Arabidopsis thaliana: one gene and its partners. The protein of the gene in region 2 purifies or fractionates together with the protein of the main gene of each other region. This does not show direct contact. Each region holds a gene or a part of one and is shown on either strand. Other genes may lie near its edges.

What was found. The genes of interacting proteins can lie anywhere in the genome.
Region 1: the proteins of AT1G80750 (region 2) and AT3G58660 fractionate together in Arabidopsis thaliana (co-fractionation; one large-scale study listed by BioGRID). This does not show direct contact.
Region 3: the proteins of AT1G80750 (region 2) and AT2G42650 fractionate together in Arabidopsis thaliana (co-fractionation; one large-scale study listed by BioGRID). This does not show direct contact.

The regions. Positions count from the first base shown.
Region 1 is NC_003074.8:21,696,947-21,704,647, reverse strand, and holds AT3G58660 (Ribosomal protein L1p/L10e family), read right to left. Parts: upstream 3,115-7,701; 5' UTR 3,075-3,114; coding exon 1,734-3,074; 3' UTR 1,534-1,733; downstream 1-1,533. Other genes in the region: AT3G58670 (2-aminoethanethiol dioxygenase, putative (DUF1637)), read left to right, coding at 136-289, 382-585, 834-955; TRM7 (GPI-anchored adhesin-like protein), read left to right, coding at 5,429-5,537, 5,617-5,675, 5,792-7,360, 7,456-7,579, 7,698-7,701.
Region 2 is NC_003070.9:30,344,639-30,353,387, reverse strand, and holds AT1G80750 (Ribosomal protein L30/L7 family protein), read right to left. Parts: upstream 4,719-8,749; 5' UTR 4,507-4,718; intron 4,357-4,506; 5' UTR 4,337-4,356; coding exon 4,151-4,336; intron 3,800-4,150; coding exon 3,702-3,799; intron 3,605-3,701; coding exon 3,467-3,604; intron 3,363-3,466; coding exon 3,260-3,362; intron 3,173-3,259; coding exon 2,954-3,172; 3' UTR 2,824-2,953; downstream 1-2,823. Other genes in the region: NIP6;1 (NOD26-like intrinsic protein 6;1), read left to right, coding at 1,373-1,615, 1,712-1,936, 2,143-2,337, 2,415-2,476, 2,556-2,748; AT1G80745 (Transcription factor TFIIIC, tau55-related protein), read right to left, coding at 5,067-5,188, 5,314-5,365, 5,462-5,512, 5,591-5,674; CMT1 (chromomethylase 1), read right to left, coding at 6,557-6,710, 6,814-6,917, 7,008-7,077, 7,177-7,220, 7,310-7,408, 7,492-7,604, 7,675-7,765, 7,847-7,933 and 4 more.
Region 3 is NC_003071.7:17,760,698-17,768,421, reverse strand, and holds AT2G42650 (Ribosomal protein L1p/L10e family), read right to left. Parts: upstream 3,245-7,724; 5' UTR 2,893-3,244; coding exon 1,774-2,892; 3' UTR 1,534-1,773; downstream 1-1,533. Other genes in the region: AT2G42660 (Homeodomain-like superfamily protein), read left to right, coding at 164-386, 472-548, 629-668, 746-860, 954-1,083, 1,175-1,357; AT2G42640 (Mitogen activated protein kinase kinase kinase-like protein), read left to right, coding at 4,714-4,781, 5,005-5,033, 5,130-5,488, 5,620-5,814, 6,060-6,233, 6,342-6,613, 6,743-6,823, 7,262-7,348 and 1 more.

The DNA.
Region 1 (7,701 bases), on a different chromosome or scaffold from region 2:
TGGTTCCTGGTATGGCCCTTGCCTAAGCCATGGAGCAACACGCTCCACATGTTTACTGCAGTTAAACAAAGTTCTGAAATGCAATATTCTTGCTTTACTTGTCTGCTTATTATGCTTTGATCATTATTTTGTCAGATTGGAATTTTCTGCATGCCACCTGGGTCTATCATACCACTTCATAATCATCCAGGCATGACAGTGCTAAGCAAGCTTGTTTATGGTTCAATGCACGTTAAGTCATATGATTGGGCTGAGCCTGACCAATCAGAGCTAGACGATCCATTACAAGGTAAAAAGTGACTTGTAAACTGCCCCAGTATAACTTCCGTGCTATATGAATCATTTCAAAATGAGTAATATGTTGTTCCCTTTTACTCATAGCAAGACCCGCGAAGCTGGTCAAGGATATTGATATGACTTCCCCTAGCCCAGCAACCACTCTATATCCAACAACCGGTGGCAACATTCATTGTTTCAAAGCCATTACTCATTGTGCAATCTTCGACATCTTATCTCCTCCATACTCTTCTACTCATGGCAGACACTGCAACTACTTCCGAAAATCCCCAATGCTAGACTTACCTGGTAAAATATCACAAACTTCACGAAATACCAGTTTATAACTTCTTAAAAGTGCTACTATATTTCGTAATGTAACAGCTTTCATAACAATTTTGGAAGAATCATGGTTTAAACCACTAGGTTGTTGATTAGAGAAAAGGTCTCATACTCTCATAGAACATGCTCATTATCTGTATTGCTAAACAGATTTGGTTTAAGACTATCATTTGTTACTATGGCAATGTTGTTGATGACATCATATGTGAAACCAGGTGAGATTGAAGTGATGAATGGAGAAGTGATCTCAAATGTGACATGGCTTGAAGAGTATCAACCTCCAGATAACTTTGTGATATGGAGAGTTCCGTACAGAGGTCCAGTGATTAGAAAATGAGAAATACAAAAAGGATTAAACATATTAAAAAAGAGCAGAAAGAGAAAGGTGCTTATGATCAGGAGAATAATTGGTAAACCATTCAGAGGCTGGCTGCATAATGGTCGAGGTTCTTACATAATTGTGACCACATTAAGTTCCAGCCTATGTCGTTGTATGATAATGTTTACTACATACAACTTTATGATTACTTCACTAGTTTAATATTATAATTTTTTCCCCCTATTTTTATATGCAGCTACACAAAAAATTGCTCATAAACAGTGTTCTATTTAGTTATCATAAATTTTGTTTCCATTGATCTTTTGCATTTCCTTATTTCATGTCTTCTCTAGATCATATCAACTTTTAATTCTTCTTATGACTGAAAGACGAAGCCTGAAGTGCTGTGCTGGCTTGCGAGTAATAAAAAAACTCATGCAGATTTTGGGTATAACTGTTCTAAGAGACCTCTATATGATTTAAATGGTTAAAGCTTTGGTGAGCCATTTACTAAGAGATGGGGATCAAGATCATGCAAGTACCATCATAACCTGATCAATGCTTATTGCAATAAATTCAGATAAATAGTCTTTGTTTAGAAAGAAAAACCTTTAAAAAGTTAAAAGGTGAACAGTAGTATGTTTCCTCCACAAAACCATCAAACCCACATTCACCAGTTCAATGTTTCATAGAAGTAGTACAAGATATGAAATGGCTCAAAAATGTAATAAGAACTACGATAGAAAATAAAACATAAATCATACTCAAAAGCAAACACTCAAGACCTTCCTCTGCCTCATTTCCTAAGCACACTCTTTCTCTTCGGCTTCAATCCACCACCAGATTCGTCTTTCGCAACCATTGTTGTCTTTTTCGCCTTTAAGCCGTCCTTGCTCTTCTCCAGCTTCACAACATCTGGTTTAACTTTCCCCTTGACCGCAGCTTTCTGCATAGGTTTCTCAACATCGGGTTTCGACTTCCCTTTGGCAGCTTTCTTCATCGGTTTCTCAACATCAGGTTTCAACTTCCCTTTGGCAGCTTTCTTCATCGGCTTCTCACTCTCTGCAACTTCACTTACCTCCTTCTTCCTCTTCTTCATCTTCTTCTCCTCAGACTCAACAATCTCATTATTATCCTCGTCACCACCAATCTCATCCTCATCAAGCACCTCAGCTACATTACTATCCATATACCTAACCTCGTGAATCCTACCTTTCTTCTTCTTTCCCTTCCCTGTAACACTCTTCTCTCCACCATCAACAGCAACAACTTCTTCAACTTCACCTTCCTTCTCCTCCTGAACAACACTCTTTCCAGACCCAAAAGCATCGATTTTAAGCTTCAAATCAGGAACAGACTGATATATAGGCAAAGCTAAACTCTCAGACAACTTCAAATGCAAAGACCTAACGTACGTCCACTTATTAGGCAAGAACTCAACTAGTCCATTCAATGTCGCCATCACATTCTCAGTAATTTCACAAATATCCATAGACAATTTCCCAACCTTAATGACACTACACGTCCCAGTCCTTATGAAGAACATAGCAGATCCACAAGCTTTCTCTATCTGATGTTTCCAGTTCCTGTGCTTCAAATCAAGCGCCACCGGAATCTTCTTGCTCGTAAAGAACTTCTTCCCAATCACCCTCGGCAGCAGAGGAATGATCCTCCGATCAGTGAAAAACATGTCGTAAGAGTCGCAGAGTTTCCTCTTCGCTTCGAACGCCTTGTAATCACTCTTCAGTTTCGAAAGCTTAATAACCTTGGTGATTGGAATATTCTCAGATTTGATCTTCTTCATCGCATCATCTTTGGTGAGACCACTTTTAGGTCTGTCGTCGATGATGAGACAAATCTCCGGCGAATCGACCGTCGGGTTGATAAGAGGATGAGGTAAAGGGATACGGTAAGCATTCGTACGGGTCTTCTGTGGAATCTTCTTCAAAGTAACGAAAAGGTAGACGAGCTCGTCTTCTTCGAGAAGTTGAGGCTTCTCTGTCTTTGATTTGTCGCTTCTCCAATTGATAAGACCATTGAGGGCGCTCTCCACTGTCTTGGGACTCACTCTTGAAGTCTGCGAAGCGTGAACAAGTTGCTGCTCCTGCGGCGGCGGCGGCGAAACTGCGGTGGTCATGGGAGGGATTGAGGAAGAGAGAGTACAGAGATTAGGGTTTAAGGAGGAAGGGGACAGAAGAAGGATTTATCACTGATATATTATTTCCCTGGGTTAATGGGCCTACCTTTATTTTGGCCCATAATAGTTTTCTTATAAAGATGGGCCGGACTTTCTTCTAGTGTAACTTTTCTAAAGGTTATTTTCTTATAAAGATTGGCCCATATACGAATTTCGACTATCTCTTCCGGAAAACAGTCTATTTCCTCGACACATCATACTAGATAGAATCTGATTTGTGAGCACGATCTATATGTCCTCGAAGAAATAATTTTATATCTATTTCTTTCCGAAACAAAAGTTCAATATCTAAATCTTCTTGAATTAATAGTTATAGATCTAGAAATCCACGAGATTTGGTTTCAACGATTTTTAAAATAGAAACTGTTTGATTAAAACTATTGAATATCAATCTTTTAAAGTCGATTTTGGAGATAAAAAGAATCAACAGAGAAATAAGTATGTTGGAATTAGGGATCTAGGAAAATTTAAAATTCTCTATTATTCAATAGTTTACAAAAAAATCAATAAAAACTATTGATCTAAAATAATGATTTTTGGAATTAAAAATAAGAAATTAAATACTCAATATATATATATATATATATATATATATATATATATATATGAGTCAACCTTTCAACCATGTTGGTTTGTGTTTTGTCATTGTCTCTTTAACTTTCTCTCTCTGTTTATTAAAATATTTCGGTTTGTAACAGCTAGTAAACTACTGATTAAAAGTTTTGAAATGTTATTAATTTGATTTTATTTTCGGAAGTTTAACTTTGAAAAGTATGAATTCACTATCGGCTCTGCATTGTGAGATTCAAGTCTTCATGCGTGTAAAGCTTCCTAGGGATTTTATCGAATTGTTCAGACATCGTTCTCATATACTCTACTCTCTTTGGTTTCGCTACTTCGAAGCAACTCAAACCACAACAACTTCCTCTACTCATTTATTCTGTTTTTAAAAAAAAAAACTGATTGTGAAATATCAAGAGTCCAAAAAAAATTTGAACTTTTAAGTAATTCGAATCATAGAATGCAGCATATTACAAATATTCAAAACTATACGAAAGTGGAGCCCTTGTGAGACGGACACAAATATGAATTGTGGTAATGCCCAACGAAATAATTTTATAATAATCAAAATGGAATATTAATATATACAGTGATTGCACTGTTTACAATAAAGTCTTTGCCTTTATTTTTCTACACCTGAAAATTGAATCGTTATGACCTCTTTTAAATTATGTGTTTTTTTTGTCCCCTAACCAATTCAAATTCTCTTATGTTTGAAACTGCAAACTGAACTGAAACATGTATAAACATCATCAAGCTATATATTTCCATCTGCATTGGATACCAAATATAAACATCATCAAGCTTGTGACAAAAAAAAAAAAAAAACATCATCAAGCTATATATATTTGTAGATGAGATCATGCTATATGTATAAAAGCCAAAATAGTTGTTGAAACAAAAGATTTTCCTTTTATGTATAGAAAAAAGAAACACTTTTAATAGCTCAAAGGAGGGAGCTTTCAGTTTCCTAAATTCAAAACTCTCTTTGTCTCTGTCTGTCTTTCTCTCTCTCTCTCTCTTTGCAACGGCTCTCTCTGTCGTCATTTCAATTCAAACTCAGCTTCTCTCATTTTTTTAAAAACGTCTCTTGCTGCTTCTTCACTTCTCTTAGCTCACTACCCAAATCCCTAATCTCAAATCTGCTTTGAGCCTTCCTGATCTTACGCATTCCTCCAAAACCCCCCAAATATTTTCTTTGTTTTGTTTGTCTGATTTGATAAATCTCATTTTGTGTTTTTATCTTCTTCCATGGTCGTTGTTCTTGTTCTACAGTGCGATTCGTGAGCTGAGAGAGATAAAAGTGGAGAGCTTTGGTCGATCTTTAGGGCTAGATCTCCCAAAGCCACCATTGTTTCGATTTGGGTCAATCCAATTTGCAAAACATCTCTCAGCTGTGTCTGTCTGGGTTCTCATTTTGCTGAATTCGGTATAGGGTTTCTGCAAATTACACTTAATGGATGGATCCATAAGTAAAAAATGAGATCTTTGGCAGCCTGAGAAACTGAGAGGTAATCAAATTTCATTCCTGATCTAATTTCCTTTAATCTTCTGCTATATCAATCACATTCTCTATATCCTTCAGCTGAAATTGGGTGATTCATTATAATAAAATGGAAAAGTTTTGATCTTTTTTATCTGGGGTCTTGTTGTTTGATGGGATCCAGCGTCTTATAAGTGCATTCCATTGAAATTAAACTGATTCAATTGTTTTGATCCATAGGTAAATTAAGATGGACGTCGTTGAGAGAAAAAGACCAAGAGGAGCGTTTCTAAATCTGTTTGATTGGCATGGAAAATCCAGGAAGAAGCTTTTCTCTTCCAATCTCTCCCAACTCTCTGGTATGTCTTCCAGCTTTTGTTGTATATATAAGTTAAGGTAATGAAGTTTAATAATCTAAAGTTTCTTCTTTTAAAACAGAAGAATCTAAGCAAGCAAAAGAGAATGTTCAAAACCCCTCTATTACGCCGCATTCTGTTGTAAGCCTTTTCTTACTCAACACCATTTTCCTTGTTTGATGCAATGTTTTGTTTTGTGTTAGTTTACTGAATGACATGAACTATTTGTGTTCTTTGGTGTGATCTGTTTACAACAGTTTGAAGTTGATCAGAGTGTAAAGAACCCAACTTACAACCCGAGAAGTGACTCTAGCTGTTGTGCTTCATCTGTTACTAGTGATGATGGAAATGTGGTTAGAGCAAGTGTGGTAGCGAGGCTTATGGGTTTAGAGGGTTTACCACTACCAAACGTTTTGGAACCACGGGTTAATCCTGATCTTGATCCATACTTTCTCAGATCCTCGCGCCAAGCAAACACTTGGGATGCTAATGTTGATCGTCAGAGTGACTTCGATGGTGTTTCTTGGGATCATTTGGATTCAAGAACCAGTAAAGGGCCGCGTAAACGGATGATTGAGCGGTTTCAAACCGAAACTTTACCCCCGAGATCAGCTAAACCGATCTCTGTCACTCACAATAAGCTCTTGTCTCCAATAAGGAATCCTGGATTTGTTCCATCTAGGAACCCTGCTTATGTAATGGAAGCTGCTTCAAGAATGATCGAGCAAAGTCCACGGATGATTGCAAGAACACGGATGGTGTCATCGTCTGATTCTTCTTCTCCAGTTCCATTGAGGATTCGAGATTTGAAAGAGAAACTTGAAGCTGCGCAGAAAGCGTCAACTTCAGTTCCTCAAATCTCTAATGATACTCGGAACAGTAGGTACCTAAGAGGAGATCAAAACGAGAAGAAAACTACAGTATTGGGGAAAAACAGTTATGATGCTTTGAAAGGTGGTGAAGTGAAGCCACCTTCTTTCGCTGCGCAAGCAAAAGTCAGCAGTAATCAGAAGCAAGACAGCTTATCAATGTCTTCAAGTGGCAACAAGAGGATGTCTTCGGGACAAAAGGAGAAAGTGGAAGCTAAGAATAGGGCGGTTAAAAGCCAAAACAGTAGCAAAGGATCTTCCTTGAGTACCGGAAAGAATGTGCTTAGGCAAAACAACCAGAAGCAGAACTGCAGAGACAATCAGCAATCCAGGAGAGTAATGAACAAAGTAGTAAATAAGGTTCTTGTGGAAAGTGGATCTATATCGAAGAGCTCAGGATTTACTATGTCATCAGCAGAAAAACCCACTTCTTTACCTTTATCCCGCAAAAAGAGTCTTCCTCGAAGCAAAAAACCGCGGAATGGAGTGCAAGAATCTGGAATTTATGAAGATAAGCGGATCAAAAGGGGTGAAAAGTCGATAAAATGTAACATTTCCATTGATGGCGACTCGAGTACTAGTAAAGATGATCAGAAAAGGGACATGGATGTGATATCTTTCACTTTCTCATCTTCGATCAAAGGTTTATCATCTCCTCATTCACAAGGAACCAAACAAGATGCAGACTCTGCTATAAGGTTCAATGTGATAGGTGGTGATTCTTTAAATGCGCTTTTGGAGCAGAAGCTCAGGGAATTGACAACGAAGATTGAATCATCTAGCTCTAGCTTGATCCAAGAAGAGCCCTTGAGTTCCATTTCAAAAGATAGAGCGAATGCGATGATTTCATCGCCTTCCAAATATAGCGGATTGACTCAAAGCAGTCTTGATAGAGTTTTAACAGAGAGTGAATCTGTTTCTGACTGCACTTCATTCTTTAACAGCCAGAAAGTCCAGGTTAGTTTCCATAAACTATAGCTTCACTATTCTATAATATCGAATGCTTTTCCGGCTTACCAGTCTCTGAGAAAATCTTGTCTTTTTCCTTTTAGAAGCAGAAGGTAATACAGGGAGAAGAACAAGAAGTTAGCAGCATCACCACTCTTACAGAAGCTGATGATTTTGCACTCTCCTGCAGCAAGAGTATCTCAGATTGCAGACATGACAGAGAATATGGTATGTCTTTGTGAATTTATGTCTAGATTTTCTTCACCAGGATTTGAATTCACACCTAATAGTCTTAGTATTGGTTTGATTTGCAGCTAGATAAGCTTAATGTTGTTGGTTTTTTCAGGCAT
Region 2 (8,749 bases):
TGTTTTGTTTCGATTATATCTGCGTTCTCACTGTACCAAATTTTTATTCTATGACATAATGTGATTTAACTTGAAGGGAATGGACGAAATTTAAATGACTATCTTAGTCTTAGGAGGTATATATTCTCCGGATATATAGACCTCTTATCTATATCTACACATAGTTTTTTAATCTAAACCGAGACCACTAGCTCACTCCTCTACTTATTCTATAAAACTTAGAAAAGGGTATGTATACTTGGGCATAAGTTATAAAAGCGAATAAGGTTCAAGAAACTTATACCTTAGAGAAATAATTATAATTAAATCTTGTTCCAAGACACTTCAATTCATAGTCATACGATTGTGAGGACAAAGCAATAAATTAGTGTTTTAATTTTGATTCTAAAGAGTTGTGACGGGTCATCACAGATTCTTCGTTTTTTTATAGATAGAAAAGGAATAACGTTAAAAGTATACAAATTATATGCAAGAGTCATTCGAAAGAATTAAATAAAGAGATGAACTCAAAAGTGATTTTAAATTTTAATGATAAGAATATACATCTCACAGAAATCTTTTATTTGACATGTAAAATCTTGTTTTCACCTATCTTTTGTTAGTAAACAAGAATATTTAATTTGAGCCTCACTTGGAACGTGATAATAATATACATCTTATCATAATTGCATATTTTGCGGATAGTTTTTGCATGGGGAGATTAAAGGCTTAATAAAGCCTTGAATTTCCGAGGGGAGGAATCATGTTTTATACTTGCAAACTATACAACCATCTGCATCGATAATTGGTGTTAATACATGCAAGGATTATACACTAAAACAAATCATTTATTTCCTTACAAAAAGAGAGTCGACTGTGAGTCACATTCTGTGACAAGGAAAGGTCAAGAACCATCGCTTTTATCATCATTCTCTTTGCTAACAACTTACAACCACACAAACGCAAGAGTTCCATTCTCATGGAGAAGAACATATTATGCAAAATAATGTATGTCGATCGATAGAGAAAAGGATCCACAATTATTGCTCCATCTCAAAAGCTTCTTTAGTACACGATACATGTATCATGTAAATAGAAATATGAAAGATACAATACACGACCCATTCTCATAAAGATAGCAACATTTCATGTTATGTAAAGAGTCTTCCTTAGGACACATGCATTAAAACTAAGGATTACCAACCCACTTACTCCTCACTCCAACCAAATATCAATCATCTATTTTGGGTCCTTCACTCATAAGTCAACTCTCATGCCTTCCTCTATAAATACCGTACCCTACGCATCCCTTAGTTCTACATCACATAAAAACAATCATAGCAAAAACATATATCCTCAAATTAATTAGATCTCATCTATCTCTACCCTCGACATGGATCATGAGGAAATTCCATCCACGCCCTCAACGCCGGCGACAACCCCGGGGACTCCAGGAGCGCCGCTCTTTGGAGGATTCGAAGGGAAGAGGAATGGACACAATGGTAGATACACACCAAAGTCACTTCTCAAAAGCTGCAAATGTTTCAGTGTTGACAATGAATGGGCTCTTGAAGATGGAAGACTCCCTCCGGTCACTTGCTCTCTCCCTCCCCCTAACGTTTCCCTCTACCGCAAGGTACATATGTACACATTCTCATTACAAGTACACTCCATATAAATCATGTTTCCAATTCACTGAGCATTGAACCAGTACATATATGTGCTTGTAAAGTTGGGAGCAGAGTTTGTTGGGACATTGATCCTGATATTCGCCGGAACAGCGACGGCGATCGTGAACCAGAAGACAGATGGAGCTGAGACGCTTATTGGTTGCGCCGCCTCGGCTGGTTTGGCGGTTATGATCGTTATATTATCGACCGGTCACATCTCCGGGGCACATCTCAATCCGGCTGTAACCATTGCCTTTGCTGCTCTCAAACACTTCCCTTGGAAACACGTCAGTAGTTTAATCTTATTTGTTTTAACACATTTTTGGATGTTACTGAGAGAACCACATGAAATCTATAGACATGCACATGCATGTTGTATTATGAATTGAATTTTAACATGGGTAATAAAAGTATATATAAAATCTGATCATATAAAAGGGGTTCTATATAATTGTTATAAAAATAATAATGTTGGTGTCTAAATTTATGTTAGGTGCCGGTGTATATCGGAGCTCAGGTGATGGCCTCCGTGAGTGCGGCGTTTGCACTGAAAGCAGTGTTTGAACCAACGATGAGCGGTGGCGTGACGGTGCCGACGGTGGGTCTCAGCCAAGCTTTCGCCTTGGAATTCATTATCAGCTTCAACCTCATGTTCGTTGTCACAGCCGTAGCCACCGACACGAGAGCTGTAAATTACTTATAAAAAACGTTTTTGAAGAGTCTTGAAATTTTGGACGTCAATGAAAACTAATCACAAGATTACAGGTGGGAGAGTTGGCGGGAATTGCCGTAGGAGCAACGGTCATGCTTAACATACTTATAGCTGGGTAAATAAACCATCATTTCTTGAATTCAGTTCTTGTACATAATAATACATGTTACTGATCATGATGTTGTGTCCAACAGACCTGCAACTTCTGCTTCGATGAACCCTGTAAGAACACTGGGTCCAGCCATTGCAGCAAACAATTACAGAGCTATTTGGGTTTACCTCACTGCCCCCATTCTTGGAGCGTTAATCGGAGCAGGTACATACACAATTGTCAAGTTGCCAGAGGAAGATGAAGCACCCAAAGAGAGGAGGAGCTTCAGAAGATGAAAAACACTCGCTTCTATATTACTCTGTTTACATCACATAAATATATGTGTATAATATAATATCTGAAGTCGACGATGCTTATAAAATTTGGAATGCCCTTTAACCAAAATTGCAAGTGTTTCATCAAAATGGTTGGTTTTTAGCCTCGTACAGATCTTTTAAGGAAAATATAGTAAGTAGCTAGCGATTACAACGATTGCTGCTTCTAATTCATTTTGCTGATGAGATCATTGATCTTATCTTCGCGGTTTCCGGTATCTCCTCCTTCGCTGAAAACTTGTTTCTTCCGGTGCAAAACATCAGCCACAGGCTTGTTGAGTTTCAAGGGTCCCAAGAATCTCATAACTTCTCTGAAATGATCTCCGACTCTTGCTATCTCATTCACAAGGTCTTCTATGCCCAAGATTTTGTGTTCTCCTAGAGCCTAAGGTAACAAAAGTGGAAACGATTAAGAACAGCATGGTTATTATCTGGAATAAGCTCCTATACTTTTAAGAGTAGGAAATTTTACCTGTTCGATTATATTGTTGTCGGTAAGAGGAACAGGATTTCCCTCAATGATTGTGCATCCCTTTTTGTATATAAGGTCCTTAACACTCTTATCATTCGGGTATCTTCAAGAATCGTAAACATCGGTTAGCTCATACGAGAATAGAGAAACAGCATGGAAATCGAGTAACAAGGAAATATTGAAAGAGGATTGATTGTCTCTACGTACCCATAAGTGACATAAGGCTGCACTTTGAGAAGCTTTTGGAACAAACTGTCAGTTGCTTTAGCAAATACACCAGTAAAGACGCTCTTTAGTTGCAAATTGTTAAGAATCCTCTTGGTCTTTGGGTGCATATCATTCTTGCTGGTCACCAGAAAGAAAAGGCAAGGATAAGAAACAGGCAGAGATAAAGATTAAAACTCCAGGGGGAAAACAAAGCTAATTGGAGAATATCAAATACCCTTGAATGCGTATGATGAAAACCAGGTCAGATTTAACTGGTGGAGGAGATGACTTTGGCCTCTTTACTCTTTGCTTCATCCGGATCATATCTACTTCCTTAAGTAGGGATAAAATTAGCAAAAAGGGAACAGTTAAATTACAGAGAACAATGCAGGATTGACAGAAGAAACAACAAGTCCTAAGCACAACCTTGCAAAACTAGGGAGAAATCTCAAAGGAGAAACACAAAATTATCTGTAGAAAAGTTACAGTCTAAGAGATAAGTGACAAAACCTAATCATAAAGGTTGATGTATAGCTTTAATTTAACTCAAAGAATAAGCAAAAACAAGTTCTTCTAAGGTGTAGACAAAAGTCAAGAAGCAAAAATCAGAACTTGAGGCAGTAAAACGAATGGAAAAAGACAAAGCAAAAGTTTTTCAGAGAATCTGGAAAAAAAGAAGTGTACCTTAGCCCTGAACTCATGAACAAAATCTTCAGGACGTTTGATATCAGAGACTTTCTTCTTCTTCTTGCCGGAATTACCCAACTCAAGTTGCTTCTTCCTGATAAAGGCAAGCTCATCTCTGTTCTTCCTCTTCTTCAGTACTATCTCCGGTATGTAATCCAAACCCTTAGCTTCTTCCTCAGCCATTATCTCTCTACTCTTTGCTTCTACAACACAAAACAGATTGTCAGATTGAATTTTTTTGCGAAAAAAGTTTATAAACAGAGACTGAACTCAACCCTATAAGAAAGTGAGGCTATAGGGACACCAACAGAATGAACAAGATAAGAAGAACGGAAAAGGGGGAACAAATTTACCGGTGGCGGCAAAGCAATTGGGACGGCGGCTGAAAGAATTCCAAGTCGAAGTTGGTAGCAATGGCCGATTTGAGAAGCCTAGGGTTTATTAACTAAAATCTCTTTTGTGTTATTAACAACTTTGCCACCAGACCTAATTACGCTCCGGGCCAGACTCATAATACTATTGGGCTAAAAAAGCCCAATATTTATGGGCTTATGTAAGGCCTTACTGCCTTTGAATATACCTAGTTTTATTTTATAATATCTTGTGTGATTTTGTTTCTTTTAATTACATGGGATGCATAATTTCTCCATCACTGGTTGATTCAATTCAGTTTTTATTTTATTGACATCATCAGAAGGACAAATCATGAAAACGTACGTTGAAGTTGTGAATCGTTTAGTTACCTTTTGGTTTGGTCTTAGTTTGATTGCTACTTTCAAGAGGCCAACAAAGGAAGATGCTGCATGTGCCTTAGCTACATATATAATCTGTCGGTTATTGTTATAGTTCTTTTTTTTAATATGATCTTTGAAGAAAAGTCAGGTTTCCAATGACTTGAACAAGAGAAAAACTTTTACAAATTGGTTGTTTTTGTTACTCCATCTTCGTTGTCTAATGGTGCTAACCTAAACTTGAGAATCTTGTGGAGTTTGGCAACAGGTTCAACTGTCTTCTTCTGTGGCGTCTGGTTATCACCTTGTGCAAACAGACAAATGAAGAAACCGCAACCCCAAATCAGCATCTTGAAGGGACAGAATAATTACTTGAAACAATAACATGTGTTTCCATGTTTGATAATAAAGAGGAAAAGTGAAACTAACCTTTGTCAGAGAAAGCAAGGCATGTACCAATCGTTGCTATATATTCTCCTACCTGAGAGATCATCAAATCTAACACGATTAAGAATGGTTTAAGCAAAAAGAGTAACTGAACTTGGAAAATTGTACTAGTTGCAAGTAAGAGAATTACCAGCTTCATTTTGCCATCTATGGTCAACACCGGATTCAAAGTATCCAAACCCTATGAGAACCAAACAAAACCAAACTTATAAAACAAGAGAATGCAAAAAGTGAAATGAAAGAATTGGATTGAACTAACTGATAAAGTATAAGGAGCATCTGCTGGAATGTCAATGTGCCTTGAAACGTCATCAAGATCAATCATAACATGTTCATCCTCCATCTCTGTATCAATGTGTTTATTAGGGTGGAGAAGAACACAAAGATATTTATGAATCCTAAAACTTTCTCACTTTCTGAACGCGATTAGATCCAAGAAATTATCATTCTTACATCTCCTAAACAACAAATTTATGTTGAGAATGGTTCACCTCTTTCTTTTTTTCCTTTCAATCTTTCGAGCAAATTCGAAACCCTTCTTTAAGTGAGGGAATCGAAGAACAAGCCTGATGAAGAGGAAGAAACAAAAAAAAAAAAAAAGTAGATCAATTGGTTTCTCTGCTTCTTCTATGTGAAAAATTTGCTCTGTTATGAGATATCAAATTTGGGCCGAATATTATAACGTAAAAGCCCAACCGAAGGAGTGGGGACATTATTTGGGTGAACCAAATCTTTCACCATTATATGGGCTTGTGGGCCTAACTGCCTTCGAATTTACTTAGCTTTTGCGAATGAATGAATAACACTAATAAAAGCTGGTAAGTGGTGATCATTGACCAGAGTTTCGGTCGGTCGGTGGCAACTGAATTACGCAAAATCGAACCAATGTTCGTCGAGAGATCACGGACGTACCTAGCACCTCGGATGCTCAATAACAGGTTTTGTCTGTCTTTTGCTTGGTCTTAATTCTTGTTGGATGGCATCACGTAGGATTGAAGTCTACGCAATAGAATTTGAAATCTTGAGATTAAAAATCATAAGAAATAAAATGGTTCCAAATGATTATAAAGTCAAAGATAAACCAACAAGAAAGAGCTAGACAGTTTAAGCCGCCATTGTTTGAGCATATAGCTCTTGCTAACCCAAAAAATTAAAAGAAAGTCTAGAAAATGAAGTATGATTCCTAAAGATAGTTTCATCATGACGACTTGATGGAGACTGTCAATCAGATTTGATCCTTTGCCTGCATGCATTCGGGATACTTGAATGGCAGCTTGATTACTGGTTCATCATCCGTCAGTCCTTGACTCGCCATACCAAAGGCATATCCTAATGCAACCCCTACAGGAACTGCCACAGCATTCCCAACCTGGATGTACCTACAAAATTTAGATTCAAACCCAGTTTTTACATACATTAGGATCTCCAGTTTAAAAACAATCATATACATAGATAGAAAAGCAGCAAGAACCAAGGACTTACTTTTCCTTAATTGTTCCACAGAGCTTGTAACAATCAGGGAACCCCTGTAATCTCGCATTCTCACGAACAGACAACACACGGTTTTGCATTGGATGGATTACACACTGCATCAACCAGTTTTAATAAACCAGCCACTAGAGAATTCTAAGTGGAACGTACCCAGACACATGGGAAATGAAAGCAAAAGGGCTTACCTGGTTGTGAGGTTCAGCCCTTGTCACAACAGTGTTAACGATTTCATCACCCCAAAGTCTACCAAACGGCCTGAAATTCAGATAACAGATGTGTTACTTTTAATGAATTTAACATTCTTACGTTATGGAAAGAGGATCCACAAGAAGCATATTAGTTGGAGAAACTCACTTTTTTGATTTTCCTTTTATGAATGAAATTGCATAAGCAGGGACCTGTGAAAACCAAAAGACATGTCATATAGAAGGTGCAAAAAGAAACTAGAGCAGAAAAATGATAAGGTTGCGAGTGGTTTATTTTATACCACATTTTTTCCAGATTTCAACTTTGCTCGAAACCTAGGATTAATTTCCGCTTTGTTGTTGTGAACTAAAACACCAGGCATGTCGCGATAGTTTGCCCCCTGTAACAATAAGAATACAATGACATGAACAAGAAATGATTATACATTGAATGCTTGAAGCAAGTACTTTAAAAATGTCGCACCTTCTGTTTTGGTATGTAGGAAACTCTTTCCAAGTCATCATCTCCTAATACGAGGGGTTGGTGATCAAACAACCTGCGTGTCGGATCTCCACCAAATGCGGGTAAAAGTGTCTCTGAAACAAGAAAGATACGTTAGTATTGGATTAGTGGTACCTACCAAATTTACGAGTTTAAAATGCTCACCAGATCTTTTGAGGCTAATAAAGTTCTCAAACTCTGTCTTAGGAGCAGCATCATTATAATCCATTACATCATTTGCCACATAATTTGTCACCTGCAGCACTAAGAGAGCAGTGATCAGACAGATATATTGTAACATAATCATCAATGGCAGTTCTGAAGTTTAGATACACACCGGTGGCAGATCACTAATAGCATCAGCCAGCGTAAGAGCGTTGTCCAATTTAAGGAACTCCATTTGAATACGTCCAACTTGTAAATCCTACATTTATAACAGATGAATAAGCAATGCAGTTATAACTTATAAGAGTCTATTAAATTTAAATGTACAACTGTCCACACTTGCTTTGAATTCTTTAGGTGTGTTGAACTTTTTAGCAACTTCATGTGTTGGGAGGGGATAAGGGGGAAGTTTCTGTCAAACAAATCAAGAGAGAGCAATAAAGATCATGTTCCTCAAAAGACAATATATTAGTGGTAAATATTCTGTAACATATATTTACCTCTGATGGTTGTGCAGCCCATAAAAAAACCCTGTTTCTAAGCTGAGGGAGCCCATAAGATCCAGCAGCCATCATGCCCAACCGCGTCTGGTAATTCATCGCAACAAAGCTAGCTACAGCATGACGTGCCAGGAAACCCTTTGAAAACCTAAGAAGGTCTACAACATTTTCCATCAGCACATAGTTTGGCTTGAGGAAGTCAATGATGTCTAAAAACACCAAAAGTTGCTGGTTCTTCTGATCTTCAAGCGGTGCTTCATTGTTTCTATACCGGTTATACCCACTGATCCCTTGGCAAGGGGGCCCACCGCACACTGTGTAGACAGTACCCTGAAAAATCATCAAACATTTAGTTAAGATTGTAAATAGCTTTATATTAAAAAGATCATATAAAGCAAAGATATTATCTTACCGGAAGTGGTAAGAGATGAGACTTAAACCCATCTATCACGTACTCCTTCAGCTTCTCCTTGCAGTTGCTGGAGAAATATAAAGTAATTATCAAAGAAATTATCAATACAAAACTAGGTTAATATAGAAAAGTTACCCTAAGCCAGAGTAAGGTTCCCATGTGT
Region 3 (7,724 bases), on a different chromosome or scaffold from region 2:
CTATATTATATACTTATAAGTGTATATATATGATTATAGCTAGTATTATTGAAGCCAACGCCGAAATTATCATAGAGATTTAACCTCTCTCATGGGTTTTTTTTTGTTTGTTTTTGAGTAATTGATCTCGAGAGCTAGCTAAAGACACTCTCGCCGGAGAGACATGGCCGGGAGATCTTCGCCGGGAAAATGCTCCACGTGGCTTGACCTGAACAGAGAAGAAACAGTGGAGAAGAACAATGAAGAAGAGTCATCAGTGGAAGACGAAGACCAAATCACGAATAACGTTAGACAGTATATTCGGTCCAACATGCCTCGGCTTCGTTGGACGCCTGATCTTCATCTCTCCTTCGTTCGTGCTGTCCAACGACTAGGCGGTCCAGACAGTAGGATTCTTGTTCTCTCTCTCCACGTCTCTTTCTCTCTTTCTCTCTCTCAGCTTTGTAATGTAATTGTTGTATGATTTTAAAGGAGCGACGCCGAAATTGGTTCTTGAGATGATGAATCTAAAAGGATTGAGTATTGCACATGTCAAGAGTCATTTACAGGTAATCTTCATCGTCTGTTATTCTAAGATTATCTCAGTTTTGTTCATCTTTTTCAATGTTTTCATGTTTCTGATTTCAAGATGTATCGAAGTAAGAAGCTCGAGCCGTCTTCTCGCCCTGGTAAGTTAGTTTTGATCCGCAGACATTTACCATTCCTTCACTGGGTTTCATAATTGATGGAAATGACTTTTGAACAGGATTTGGAGCTTTCATGAGTGGACAAAGAAGCTATTTGATGGACATGATCGACTCTCGATGTATCCCTCATAGCGATTTAAGACATGCCTATAACTCTAAAACCGTTCCTTCGAGGTCATACAAAGAAACAAGTTCCAGTTACTAAAATGTTTCACATTTGTATATCCGATCCGACCAAGGAAGTTAAAATTGCATTCTTTTCTGTAGGGTACTCAATCAAGACGCGGTCGTTACAAATCTTGGAGGTAACTTTCTTATGCGACCTTCGAGCTGGTTTAGCGGGTTATGCAGAAATGACCGAGACAGCACAGAGAACAAGACTCTGCCTCTACTCGAGGTAACTACCTACTTTCGTTTTAAGAGTTATAGAGGAACAGTTTTGTTAAAAACCGAGGAAGGTACTGTAATCTTGGTGAAATCTTATGCAGATTAGGAAGAAGAACAATGAGAAAAGAGTCCGAGATGAAGAAGTATCATCAGTCAAACGATTGAAATCAATGTCCGGAGGTGGGATACAGTTGCCTGAGTTTGGAAATTGCAGGCAAAAACCAACAGATGATATCAACACAATGCTCTCGCTCTCTCTGTTGTCGACATCATCAGAACCGTAACCAACATACTAGAGAGATGAAGTTTAACTTTAAAAGAGATTCAAGAGTAGAGACTTTTGTTTTCCTTAGCCGTTTCATGGGATGAGTACTTAGCCAGGATCTGGATCAGGCTTGAGTCAGATCCTGCAAGTACTTATCCTTAGCGGTTTCTCTGCATTCAATACAACACCAATTCTGGAATGCAACAAAACACATGTAATAATATGTTTCCTCGTCAAAACCACCAAATCAACTACATGGCAAGTCACTAGTTTGATGAAATAGTAAACGATAATAAAAGTCCTAAATATATAAGAATCATGATGATGATACCATAATAAGACAAAGTCATAATCAGTATCCAAAAAAATCACTCAAGCAGAAAGAATAGAATACTTAGTTATAACGACATTAATATAAAATCTTCTTTTCTTGGTTCACCTCCTCTTAGTCTTAGCTTTGAATCCACCACCAGACTCATCAATGTCCTTCTTTAGCTTTTTCGACTTTTGCCCATTCTTACTCTTCACAATGTCTGGTTTCCCACTCACTGCAGACTTACTACTACTCATCTTCTTCCTCTTCTTCTTATCTCCAGAAGCATTGAGATCATCAGCAACCTCATCTTCTCCAACACTCCTATCGAATTCATCATCACCAAGAGTCTCAGATACATTACTATCCATATATCTAACCTCATGAATCTTTCCATTCTTCTTCTTTGTCTTCACACTCTTACTACTACTATCATCAACATCACTTTTAGCTAATCCTTCACCATTCTTAACTTCTTCAACACCTAAAGGATCAATCTTGAGCTGCAAATAAGGCACTGTCTGATATAATGGCAAAGATAAACTCTCAGATAACTTCAAATGCAAAGATCTTATGTATTTCCACCTACTAGGCAAAACATCAACAACACCATTCAAAGTCGCCGTCACATTCTCAACGATATCATCGCTTTCCATGGACAATTTCGCAACTTTGATCGCACTACAAGACCCAGTCCTCATGAAGAACATAGCAGCACCACAAGCTTTCTCAATCTGCTCTTTCCAATTCATATGCTTCAAATCAATAGCCACAGGAGTCTTCTTGCTCTGAAAGAACTTCTTCCCAATCAATTTTGGCAACATAGGAATCACTCTCCGATCTGAGAAAAACATATCGTATGAATCACAAAGCTTCCGTTTCGATTCGAATGATCCATAATCCGATTTCAGCTTCGAAAGCTTAACAACTTTCGTGATTGGTATGTTCTCTGATTTGATATTCTTCTTCGCATCTTCCTCGGTGAGACCACTTTCAGGTCTGTCGTCGATGATGAGACAGAGCTCCGGTGAGTCTTCGGTAGTGTTAATTAGCGGATGCGGGAGAGGAATACGATAAGCGTTCGTAAAATTCCTCTGTGGAATCTTCTTTAGGGCTACGACTAGGTAAAAGAATCCGTCTTCTTCTAGAAGCTGTGGCTTCTCCGTCCTTGATTTTTCGTTTCCCTCTTTGACCAGAGCCTTAACTGCATCGTCCACAGTCTTGGGACTTACTCTTGACATAAGTGGTGGCGGCGGTTGCGGCTGAGCTGCGGTGGTCGGAGGAAAAGAAAAGTTATTTAGGGTTCTGTGAAGGAAGATTCAGGGTTTACGGAGGACGATGACTTTTAAACGAGTTTGTTTTGGGTTTCTTAAGGCCCATAATATTGGTTAATGGGCTTAATTATATTGTTTTCATAAATTGTCCTCAAGTTTTTGCATCGGAGAAATCTTTTCTATTAAACGAGTTTGTTTTGCGTTTCTTAAGGCCCATAATATTAGTTAATGGGCTTAACTATGTTGTTTTATAAATTGTCCTCAAGTTTTGCATAGGAGAAATGTTTTGAAGATTTTTTTTTTGTGTGGTAAGAGAAACTTTTAGAAGATGGTAATTGGTAAGATTTAAGATATAGGAAATTATGACAAACTAGCTTATTTTATCAATACATGAAATCTTTTTTATTTCATGTTAATGTAGATATAGATATAAATTTAAAATATGAAATTAATTATATAAAATATGAGTCATGTAGTACTTGGCTGTCATTTACCATACTTGTCTAAAACGTACTTACCAAATATATTTGATGCTAATTTTTATATACAAAGAAATAAAGTATATACACCTGGACAATATAATTATTAATAAAATTGTTTTCTTTATTTTCAAGTTTTTATTCCCTTCGCAAAATGTCTAATTCCTCTTATAGCTCTTCAAACTTTAAAAATAAATATTTCTTTAAGAAAAAAGTGAGAATCACATTAATTGAAAATGTCAATATTTAGATAACCAAAACAAAATTCTCAAACACTTTTCTTTATGTAAGTACTATATAAATGGAGGGATTTCTTTATAAACCAAAATGTGTGATATCTTATTGAGTTCATTGAGAGAATACATGAAATGATAGAAATGTCAGGTTTTTGACAAACAAAGAAATAGCCGCACTGCCAAACACTTTGATGATCTGTTGTTGTTGACGTGTAAGTATCATAATCAACATCAATATTGAAGTAGGATGAATTCTCTTGAGTCATTCTTATTGCAATCTTTTTCGAAGATTGAATACATTCGTTGATTTTCTATTATACTCTTTTCAAAAAAAGTTCATCCTCATTTTTCATCAAACTCTTGTTAGATTCTTGTTCATTTACATCATCCTCTTTTAAGAAATCTATCTCATATGCATGAACAATCTGATAATATATTGTCATTCATAGTGTAATGACTATCAAATATGTATCTTGTTTCGAAGATCTTTGAGATAGAAATGGATGACAAAAACAATCCATGTAGGTAGAGGACAAAATTGTACTTATGAAATATATCCTGTGAATAAGTGCTTCTCGGCACGTGACTCATAATCCCTCGCACGTGACTTGCTTCGTCACTTTCGTAAAACCCCTTGACTGTGTTTTTGCTTCTTCCGCCATCAAAATCAAAACTTTCAAAACCTCCAAAATCCAATTTTTATCTCATGAATCTCTGTTGCAAATCTCTATGCATATACGTACACATACTCTATATGTGTGTACGTTTAGCTCTTTGTTGCTTGATCATGGCAATCTTCAGATCTCTCTTCTGTCTTTCTCTTGTTTCGCAGTGCGATTTAAGCAGATTGATTGCTGGATTTTGGAATTGGAAGGACGTTTATCTGCTTTCTGTGAGTTTTTTCATAAACCCTTATTCTTCTTTTGCTCTTTAGCCTTTTCTTATATGATTTTAGACCGTTTGGTTTATGGGTTCTTGTGTGTTTGAATCCATCGAAGTTGGTGGGATTTTATTTTGAAATGGGTTTTGAAATCTATGCAGGAATTTGAAATTTTGCAACCGAGGACTTGAAAATGGGAGCTAAGTGTTGCAGAGGTCACCGAGGATCAGTGGTGGAATCAAATGGTTCCGTGATCTTGTCGTAAGTTCTGAGGCTGAATTATTGAAGTGAATCTCTTCTATAAGTATCGAAAAGTCCAACACTTTGAATAAGTTTTGTAGCCAGTCTTTGAGAATTGTCTACTAGTTAAATGCTTTGATAAGGAATATATGGAATGCAACTTAGTATGTCACTGAAACATTTATTTCTGCAACAGTATATCCGAGTCTATATTTACTTAACCATTCTGCTTTTGCCTATGTAGGTTAGCTGACCTAGAGGTCCAAGCTACTGGTAAGCGAAGTTTGATTCTTAATATTTTGGTACCTACGTTATTCGTCTTTTCTTGAGTGAAACCTATGGGCTAAGGAGACACTCTTGTGATTTTAGACCTTAGGGAGATGACTGTGGTAGAGGCAAGAGATGCTGCTGGACCATCAGAACCAAGACCTCCAAGTCCTACCTTGAGGCCTTCAGAAGTTGAGGAGACATCCGAGCCTGTATGTCAGGGATCACTAGTAGAAACCTCTAATACTGATGATGCTGGACCATCAGAACCAAATCCACCAAGTCCTACCTTGAGGCCTTCAGAAGTTGAGAAGATATACGTGCCTGTATGTCAGGGATCACTAGCAGAAACCTCTAATCTTGATCAAGATGGGGTGTCAAGTTATGAAGCATCGAATATTTTTTGGAGTACTGGGTCCTTATCAGACCCGATCCCAAGTGGTTTTTACACTGTGATCCCGGTAAGCTATCTTTAGGTTGGTATTATCTTTGTCCAATAATATTTCAGTTAGCTTTATTAATGCTTGGTTACGTGCTGCTGTTTGTCAACAATCATTTTCTTATCTTATTATGTTGTTGAATTTTTCAACAGGTTGAGAGATTGATGCATTTTAAAAGCATTCCTACATTGGAAGAAATTAATGCGCTGGGGGAAGATCGTCTTAAGGCTGATGCGATTTTTGTAGATCTTAAGAACGATATACAGCTTGTTTTGATAAAGGAGTTTGTCATCAAACTTGTCACAGGATTGGACTCCGATAAAGTTATTAAGAAAATTGCTGGACTGGTAAGAATGGGCGAGCATCTTTTTATCATCTCATTTTCTAGTGAACTAACTTTGGCGACAATGCATGTCATTTTGTTACTTTATCTTATCGCTGCATGCAATAAATATTTGGTTCTGAATAAGAAAACAAATAACTGTAATCCCATTTATTAGACTCTTAAGGCACATCACATTATTTCAGCAACCTCATTATATTCTTTTAGATTATCGGGAAATCTGAATTGGATTTTTCCTTCTTATGGCAGGTGGCAAATATATATAAAAGAAAAACTCTGCAGAGTCCGGCAAGAACGCTGCAATATTTTGACGTTCAAGGGTTTACCCTGCTAGGACAAATCAAGCATGGTTCTTGTCGTGCACGAGCAATCCTCTTTAAAGTTCTAGCTGATGCTGTTGGTCTTGACAGTAAGCTTGTAATGGTATGTACTGTATAAAAACGTGATCAGTGGCTTTGGTTATAACTCCAATTTCCTCATGTCATTGATTGGTTCTGATAACTTGGCATTTCGGTTAAATTTCTTGATCAGGGTTTCCCTACTGATCTGAGATTTTCTGCTAGCATCGACTCATATAATCATATCTCTGCTGTGGTTGAGCTCAATAATGTTGAAATGCTAGTCGACCTTAAGCGATGTCCTGGTCAGCTTAAACCCTTCTCACCCAAGGCAGTTTATATGGCTCATATCTCAATGGCATGGCAGCCTGATTTTGTAGACAATAACCCTTGTGCTTCACCATTGGAGCCAAACAGTCCCATGGAACGGTCTGGTCCACCATCTGCATTACAATCCGGTTTAAGGTGATAAGCATACTTGTTTAGTTTTCTTGATTATGTTTGTATATTTGCTACCATATATATCTTATGTTTCTCTATAGGGCAAGCAAAAGCGTTATGCACGTATAAAAGTAACTTTTGTTGTTTCCTCAGTCGTTCACTAGGCGAGCCAAACATAGCTACTGAAGTTTTGCGGAGAAAGGTCATCAAGGAACCGCCACCTGCTGATTTCAGGTTAAATTGTTAGTCAATATATATTTCCTTTCAACAGTGGTGTAGTTTTGATAAACTTTTTCAATGCTAAGTAGTTGTATATAGATTCCATGCTACTTCTCTCTTAAAACTTGGGTGTCGTCATGTTCCCTCAAATTCTGTCAATTATCTTTATTGATAAAAGGTGAAATATGGTAACCATTAAAGTCCATTCTAGTCAACTACAATGCAAGAGCTATGAGTTACGTTGTGAGAGTATTGGGCTTAACTATCAGATGAGGTGAATTCAATATGTACTGCAATTGATGAGTTTGCTTCAAAAGCATATATGATTTTTGTAGCTGCAAAAGTTCATGGCATTTTCTTAGTCATTATTGTCTGGCTTACAAGAACGTTTTGGCTGAAAAAAATGGTTGTAATGCATAAAGAAGGCTGATGTTTTCATTTTTTAATGTGCAGTGGTAACTCAGGAGCAGCGGAATCGGAAAGTAAGAGAACAAATGGAAGGTGTATGAATACTCCTGATCTAAACAATGACATTGCCAGGCAAGTGTTTGTTTTATAAGACAAAAAAACATGTGTTCACAGTCATCCTTATGTTACCAAATGAGGTTGCTGTCATTTCGTTTTTTATTGTGAACATTGGCCTACATAACTGGCGGTACAATCTCTTATGGAAATTATATAAAAATTTGACAATAGGCAAAGATCTTGCGTTATTATCTTTCATAAATCTTGAGCACCACATAATATAACTAAACTAGCATTTGCTTGCATCATGTACAGACTTCCACATATGGTAGTGAGAGTTTGTAGCATTTGTATCGGCTGTTGTTGTCACTAATATTTGAATGGTTTTATCAATTATCTTTTGTTTAAAGTAAACTTAACAATCTGTTTCAGGGCAACAATGATGCAGAGT